2 linked regions of the Sus scrofa genome follow. The protein of the gene in region 1 purifies or fractionates together with the protein of each later gene. This does not show direct contact. Links are inferred from orthologs where the notes say so. Each region holds a gene or a part of one and is shown in the gene's direction. Other genes may lie near its edges. The genes, in order: CLCN5 and TMEM9.

Region 1 (3,808 bases):
AGAAGGGTGATCTCTAGAAAATGTTTTTTTTTTTTTTACTAAGATTTTGCTATTTGGGGAGTTCCCCTCGTGGCACAGTGGTTAATGAATCTGACTAGGAACCATGAGGTTACAGGTTCGATCCCTGGCGTTGCTCAGTGGGTGAAGGATCCGGCATTGCCGTGAGCTGTGGTGTAGGTTGCCGACTCGGCTCGGATCCTGTGTTGCTGTGGCTCTGGTGTAGGCCAGCGGCTGCAGCTCCGATTCAACCCCTGGCCTGGGAACCTCCATATGCTGCGGGAGCAGCCCTAGAAAAGGCAAAAAGCCAAAAAAAAAAAAAAAGATTTTGCTATTTGGGAACACACACACATATTCTTTCTATTATATCAATTCATTCATCAGGCTTTATTTTATTTTATTTTATTGCCTTTTCTAGGGCCGCTTCCTGCGGCATATGGAGGTTCTTAGGCTAGGGGGTCTAATCGGAGCTGTAGCCACCAGCCTACACCACAGCCACAGCAACGCAGGATCCGTGTCACATCTGCGACCCACAGCACAGCTCATGGCAACGCCAGATCCTTAACCCACTGAGGAAGGCCAGGGATCGAAACCACAACCTCATGGTTCCTGGTCGGATTCTTTAACCACTGCACCACGGTGGGAACTCCCATTCGTCAGGCTTTAAAACATAGACTCTTACGGCTTTAGAATTTTTGCTCTCTGTAAATCAGAGTTCATTTTGTCACTTGCTAATTCCACATGTTATTCAGGTTGTAAAAGCCACTTGTGATATGCCAAGGGCACATTTCTCATGATATCAAAATGGCTGCATCTGAGACACATTTTATCAGCTAATAATAATTCAAAATCAATTAAAATGTGTTTATCATTTGTTCAAAGGAGACCTGCTTTTTCTTTTTTTTTAGCATGAACTATTCATCATCTAGATGGAAACACTGTCCCAGGGAAAAATGTCACCTCATCTCCTTTTCAGCACTTACATTGGAAACGTAAAGGCATAGTTCAAAATGAATTTTTATTTTATTTTATTTTATTTGTTTATTTTTATTTTTTTGCTTTTTAGGGCCACAGATGTGACATATGCAAGTTCCCAGGCTAGGGGTTGAATCAGAGCTGCAGCCACCGGCCTATACCTCAGCCACAGTAACTCGGGATCAGAGCCACATCTGCAACCTACACCACAGCTCACGGCCACACCTTAACCTTTTAACCCACTGATCGGGGCCAGGGATTGAACCCGAATCCTCATGGATATTAGTCAGGTTCGTTTCCGCTGAGCCATGATAGGAACTCCTGAATTTATTTATTTATTTTTTTTGAAGGAGAATAAAAAGAGCTTTATTGCTTTGCCAAGCAAAGGAGGTCACAGCAGGCTAATGCCCTAAAGACCGTGCCCTCTCCAAATCAATGTTTAAAGTGCTTTTACATTTTTATAGTAATTTTTACTTGTGCTGTCACTGTAGATCAAGACGGGGTAGCTATGCTATGGTTCCAAAGATAAGAAATAGAGGTACAGAGAAGGGAGAAGTACCAGTGACAAAGCTGTCAAAATGCTTGGTTTTGTTTTGTTGTTGTTGTTGTTTTGTCTTTTTGCCATTTCTTGGGCTGCTCCTGCGGCATATGGAGGTTCCCAGGCTAGGGGTCGAATCTGAGCTATAGCCACTGGCCTACGCCAGAGCCACAGCCACGCAGGATCCAAGCCGAGTCGGCAACCTACACCACAGCTCACGGCAACGCCGGATCCTTAACCCACGGAGCAAGGGCAGGGACCGAACCTGCAACCTCATGGTTCCTAGTCGGATTCGTTAACTGCTGCACCACGACGGGAACTCCAAAATGCTTAGTTTTGAAATGTGAGCATTGCAAGGTTAAATTGACAAGGGTAGAGCCTAAAAGGTAAAAAAAAAAAACCCACAAAGTTTCTGCACCTCTTGATAGCCACACCTATTCCCAGCAGGCTTTTGAAAATGCAAAGCATCATCCCTGCCATCATTTGGCATCTATGATCGATCACCATACAGTTAGGGGTTTGTGGGATCGAGTCTTGGAATGTGCCTGACCTGGGAAGTAAACCTCCAACCGTACTTTCACCACTGACATAAGCCTATGTTTGCTTATTCTTTGAAAAACAATCAGACTATTTGCTGTGAGTCAAGAGACCATCTTTGGAATATCTGAGGGTCCAGGTCAGAAAGAGACCACTGCCATAAGCAAACCACACTGATGCCATAGGAAAATAGCAGGTGAACAGAGCTGCCCTGAAGCGGTACCTGTAGGAATCGCAGTCCTGCAGATGAAGGTGGGGTGCAGTTAAGACAAGGTTCAATACACTGCCAAGTTCTCAGTGATGTTGGTTTAGCCAAAGATGCTTTGAGAAAGTAACTCCACATTGGTCTCTATTACCAAAGAATAGGTTTGTCTTTGTGTGTGTGTGTGTGTGTGTGTGTGTTTACTGTATTGCACATTTTGAGGTGAAGAAGCCAGGGTGTGCGAAGAAGGTATCAATGTTTTCTCATTTCTCCTTAGATTACCAATAAAAGCAAAGAGTCAACATGGGCCTTAATTCACAGTGTGAGCGATGCTTTTTCTGGCTGGTTGCTGATGCTACTTATTGGGCTGTTATCAGGTATGGCCAACTATGTTAGCTTTCTAACCCAATCTCCTAAAAGCGTGGTGTGCCCTTCCCCCCAAGTCATGAACTGAATTGAAGGCTGCCCTTCAGCATCTCCCTATGTGAAAGGAACTGCTAGGGGACCTTTTGGAAGCTTGATGTCCCCATCAGTAAAGAAGGGTTCATACCTCATATCCTTCCTTAAATAAATGGGGTTTAATGAGGAAATGCATTCAAATATGTTTGTGTGCTATTAAGATACTGTATCCATGTTAACGTGCTATTAGCAGTGCCTTTTGGTGCCTGTCTTGAGGAAGAGCCTTTCCATTGGAGGCTGTTTTTTGTTTTTGTTTTTGTTTTTCTTTTTAGGGCTGCACCTGCGGCGTATGGAAGTTCCCAGGCTAGAGGTTGGATCAGAGCTGCAGCTGCTGGCCTGTGCTACAGCCACAGCCACACAGGATCTGAGCTGCGTCTGTGACCTACACCGCAGCTCACAGCAATGCTGGATCCTTAACTCACTGAGCAGGGCCAGGGATCGAACCTCATGGGTGCTAGTCAGGTTTGTTACTACTAAGCCACGATAGGAACACCCCCCTCCGCCCCCCCCCCTTTTTAACACATATGACAAGGGGTTTAGGAAAGAAGATGTAGAGAGGACTTCCTGAGAGATTTTTGTCGCTATTTCATTCTTTCTTCTTTTTTTGGCTACACCCATGGCATATGGAAGTTCCCAGGCCAGGGATTGAATCTGAGCCACAGCCGCAGCAACGCCAGATCCGTAACCCACTGCACAAGGATGGGATCGAACCTGCACTTCCACAGCCACCCAAGCCACTGCAGTCAGGTTCTTAACCCACTGCACCACAGAGGGAACTCCTATAGCTTTCTTAAATATCCATTTTCTCATTTGGGGGTAAAGAAAAGCATGTCAGATATGGCTCCTGGGCTCAAGGAGCCTACACTCTTGTCCTTTCATGGTGGCTGGTGAGTGGGATGGTACCATCTTTTCCTGTTCCCTCCATCAATCTCCCAAGCCACTCAAGATAATACACATTCTAACTAGGAACGGTACACTTGCTATACAGTAAAGCTTTTTTATTTTATTTTATTTTTTTTTGTCTTTTGTCTTTTTAGGGTCACACCCATGGCATAAGGAGGTTCCTGGGCTAGGGGTCAAATCAGAACTACAGCTGCCAG
Region 2 (4,331 bases), on another chromosome or scaffold:
CCCATTCTTCTGTCCCTAAGAAAGTCCCCACCTTCACATGGGAGGTAGATGAGGGGGGAGGGTCTTTTTCCAGTGCCTGAACTGCCCCTTCTGCCCCAGCCTGCTCCCCAAAGCAGTCACTCTAACCTCCAAAATGAGGTAAGGTCTCCATTGATAGATGCCCCCCCCCAGTGGTCCAGGTGCTTTGATCACATCATACCCATTTATGGATGTGGAAACTGAGGCTCCCTAAAGGATAAGCCAACCACCCAAATTCTCACAACTAGGAAGGGAGGAGCCAGGCTTGGTGCCCTGGCCATCCTAGCTCCAAAGCCTGTGAGCTTGTGTCACACCGTAGTGCTCCCCCCACCTCCTGCCCATCCTCCTGCCTGGCTGACTCTAATTCCACAGGGACTCTGCAGGTGATGAGGGTGCAGGGAAGGAGACATGTCAGTAGGAAGGCCCAACACAAGCCCAACCATGCCCACAGGAAGTGCCCACCACTGGCCACTGGCCCCATGAGGGCTGCAGGCCATGTCAAGCCCCCACCTCACCCCAGGGATCCCGGAGTATGGACTGAAAGGGACCGCAGCATCCAGCTAACTCATTTCACAGACAAGGAAATGGGCACAGAACAGGGGAGGTGTCTTTTCCAGGCAACACCACTGCTTAATGGCAGAGCAGGACCAAAGCCCATGTGGCCTCACAGGGTCGAAGCCCTGAAGACTCTTTCATTTGCAGCTGTAACGAGCTCGCTCCTGCCTCTCAGCGACCCGGACAGCCCCCGCCGCCCCGCACATCCTGCCCCTACCTGACGGGTCCAGACCAGCACCCAGGCAGGGGGACCAGGCTGGGCCTGCAGGGTTGCACTCTTTACGGGCCCCTAGCCGCCCCTATTCCTCCTCCTGGCGGCCGGGGTTGGGGTGGGGGGTTGGGGGGAGGTGGGGCCGCCCTCTGCAGCAAAGATCTGACACCAAATAACATTTTCACATTATGAATGAGGACAGAGCCCTTTAGTCTGCTTTTATCGTGTTGTGGTTATCGGCTTTATTGTTTACTAAGTGCTTTCTCTTTAAAAAGACAAGATTGACTAGCTTAAGCTCCCTCCAAAACCCTGGGTTTTAAATATGAGGACGGGGCGAGCTTCGCAGTGGGGTTCTGCAGCCTAACGGAAACCAGACCCTACCGGTTTTTCGCTCGCTTGGCTGACGCTCCCTTTTCCCGTCTGGTGGGGTTGAGAAATACCTCCCTCTCCCTTGCGCGGAGCCTCAGCGCCCTCGCGGAGGCGGGCCTCGTTGCCTTGGAGACAACCAGGTAGCGCTGAGCGGCCGCTCCGGCAACCAATAGAAGCGGGAGGGGCGGGGCCAGTCGGGTCTTGTGCCGCTGCGGCGGGGATCGCAGGTTAGCTACGTGCGTTGGGGGAGGGGTGCAGGGGTCTTAGGGGTCGCGGGGGCTCTGGGATCCATCGCGACCTGGCGGTGGGGTCGAGGTTCCTGGACTCCGCGCCCGGAGTTCTCCTAGGCCCGAGCTGGAGGAACTGCGGGCGGCTATGGCGGAGGGCGGAGGGACGCGAGGCGGGGGTCTCAGGCTCGTTTCGGGTACCCAGGGCCCATGGCCCCGCCCAGGAGGTCCCGCTGCCGGGCGTTCCATGTGGGCAGTGGGAGCCCGAGGTCTAGGGTAGATGGAAGTGGTCTTCGCCGACCGGGCTAGGAAGGCTCTGGACCCCGGGCCCAGCTCCCACCGCTTTCCTGCACCGGAGCGGGGCGGTTTGGGGCTGAGTGTGCCGCGTGGCCATCCGCCCCTTCTCTGCTTCCGTATTTCTTTTCCAGGTGTGCAGTCTTGCCGGCCCCCCCAGGCCTGAGAAGCATGAAGCTGCTGTGTTTGGTGGCGGTGGTCGCGAGTCTGCTGGTGCCCCCAGCCCAAGCCAACAAGGTGTGTGGGGGGCAAGGAGCCGCCATGGGGGGAGGTGCTGCTGCTTCCCGGCTTCTCACTCCCCTGTGGGCCCTGTTGGGGGTGTTCTGGCGGCCCTAGACTGCAGGCCTCCCAGAGAGCCGAGCCGGGGAGAGGGGTGGTCTGCTGCGCGCTGGTCTGATTTGGCCCGCCCATGCCCCAGGTAGAATTCCAGCCTGGGTTCTGTGTTTGGGGAAGTCTAAGTTTTCCTTACCTTCCTTTGCTTCTGGGTGACCTAGGGGTGGTGAGCTTTGAGCGGTGTAAGAAGTGCATGGCTGTGACTGGGGGTGAGGTCTGCATGGATCCAGGATGGGGGGGGGGCTTCCCTGGAGATACTTCTTTGCCTTAGTTTCCTGTAAATGGCCAGGAGCTGGATGGGGGCAGGTCTGTGGAATTCAAGATTCTGAAGACCTTCAAGACCGCATCAGACTGAGTCTAAAGATTGGTTTCCACTTCCTCTGAGGAATTCCTAATTGGAATGGAAGTTGTGTCTTAACTGACCCTTCCCCAGAGGGAGGACTTCCAGAGGGTGTCCATGGAAACGTCCACGTTTTCGGGTTCACCCCCACCTTTTCTTTCCCTGAAGCTCACCTAGGAAGTTGGAGGTGGGGTTGTGGGACAAGGCTAGCTACCAAGACTGTTAGATCCAGGGACACACAGCAGTGTGAGGCCCAGGGCCGAGGACTGTCACCTCGCTTGCCCTTCTCCCAGCACCGTCTACCTGAGCATGGCAGCCCTTGTAGTCAGCTTTCCCTGAGTCTCATTTGCCCTCCTGGACAGTTTCTACAGGACCCTATGTGGTAGCATCCTTCCTACAGGGGTTATTCCAGCTGAACTTGGGGATGGACAAAGGTCATGATCATTCATATGGGGAGTTGTCTTTGTGGCTCAGCCATTAACGAACCCGACTAGGATCCATGAGGATGCAGGTTCAATCCCTGGCCTCGCTCAGTGGCTAAAGGATCCAGCATTGCCATGAGCGTGGTGTAGGTTGCAGACACGGCTCGGATCCTGCATTGCTGTGGCTGTGGTGTAAGCCAAGAGCTGTAGCTCCTATTTGACCCCTAGCCTGGGAACCTCCGTATGCCTTGGGTGCAGCCCTAAAAGGCAGAAAAAAAAGATCATTCATATGGTCAGCTTGTGAAACAGGGAACCGAAAGTTGAGTCTTGCTAGAGCTTGTATCCTGGGCCCCCGGCTACCTGACCGGTGCTTTCTCTTGCAGAGTTCTGAAGATATCCGGTGCAAATGCATCTGCCCACCGTATAGAAACATCAGTGGACACATTTATAACCAGAATGTGTCACAGAAGGACTGGTAAGACATTGCCCAGACTGACCCTTGAAGTTGTGGGTGTTGACGGGGGTTCTTGGACCTCTGCAGGTTAAGCTTACTCTCCCATTTCCATGGAGAATCTTACAAAAGAATATTTTGTCCCTAGTCACGCAACCAATTAGAAATAGGATCCAGATGTTCTGAATACCAGCTTAGGGGTTCCTGGTCCGAGGAATGGGTTTTGTACTTTTGCTTTGACCCGGGTGTTTGTTCACATCCGCAAAAGGGCACCAGAGAAGTCGGGAGAGGTGGGTATGAGGGCCACATACTGTGGGAGCTTCTGCTTACTTGACACTTTGGCAAAGCTCCATTTCACGTGTCAGTTTGGTGCCAACCTCATAACCACCTTGTAAGGCAGTGGGATGGGCTGTGGTCCCATTTTATGAGTGCAGAGACTGAGGCCCAAAGAGAATTTCAATTATACTCCTGGAGTCCCAAATTCATTTCCGAATGCCTCGCTTCACAGGAGAGAGAACCATTCAAAAAATTCATTCAGGGAAAGGAGATCAGCTTGCCCAAGGGCAGCGTCAACATGCTTTCCTGGAAGGAATGGTCTAAGGAACAGTCCTCTGAAAAGGAGAGGGCTTGGGGGCACAGGGGAGAGGGGCTGGCACGCCGCAAGGTGCCCACCCTGTGTGGTTTGGGTGTAGGATTGCGGCCAGTGGGTGCGAGCTCCAGGCAGACAGATGTGTGAGTGGAACAGGTACTTTCCAGGCTGTTTTAGGAGCCGGGGCGCCTCGTCCTTGGAGGGGTCTGAGCACAGGCAGGGTGTAGCCCAATCTGGTCACTGTGGGTAGGTTAGCCTCCCGTGCGGTGGGGGGGACCTAGTCAGTGTTGCCTCTGCTCTCATGAGATCAGGATCATCAGGTGAGCTTTGAGATGAGAGTTTCCCATGATTTGGGGGTTCTTCTTGTTGTCTTCCCCAGCTTTATTGAGGTACATTACAGGTAACATCGTGTAAGGTTAGGGTGGACGGTGCAATGACTGACGCATGTGTGTGTTGTGAAGTCGGGTTAGTTAATAGCTCCATCACCTTATGTAGTTACCCGGTGGGTGTGCGGTGGTGAGA

The links.
Region 2: the proteins of CLCN5 (region 1) and TMEM9 purify together in Homo sapiens (co-immunoprecipitation; 3 studies listed by BioGRID and IntAct, with this or other methods). This does not show direct contact. The link is inferred for Sus scrofa from reciprocal best matches to the Homo sapiens genes CLCN5 and TMEM9.

Annotation. Positions count from the first base shown.
Region 1 is NC_010461.5:43,782,006-43,785,813, forward strand, and holds part of CLCN5 (H(+)/Cl(-) exchange transporter 5), read left to right. Parts: intron 1-2,526; coding exon 2,527-2,626; intron 2,627-3,808. UniProt on the Homo sapiens protein: Proton-coupled chloride transporter. Functions as antiport system and exchanges chloride ions against protons. Important for normal acidification of the endosome lumen. May play an important role in renal tubular function.
Region 2 is NC_010452.4:23,596,994-23,601,324, reverse strand, and holds the start of TMEM9 (transmembrane protein 9), read left to right. Parts: upstream 1-1,335; 5' UTR 1,336-1,380; intron 1,381-1,808; 5' UTR 1,809-1,845; coding exon of another isoform or gene 1,846-1,911; intron 1,912-3,152; coding exon of another isoform or gene 3,153-3,244; intron 3,245-4,331. UniProt on the Homo sapiens protein: Transmembrane protein that binds to and facilitates the assembly of lysosomal proton-transporting V-type ATPase (v-ATPase), resulting in enhanced lysosomal acidification and trafficking.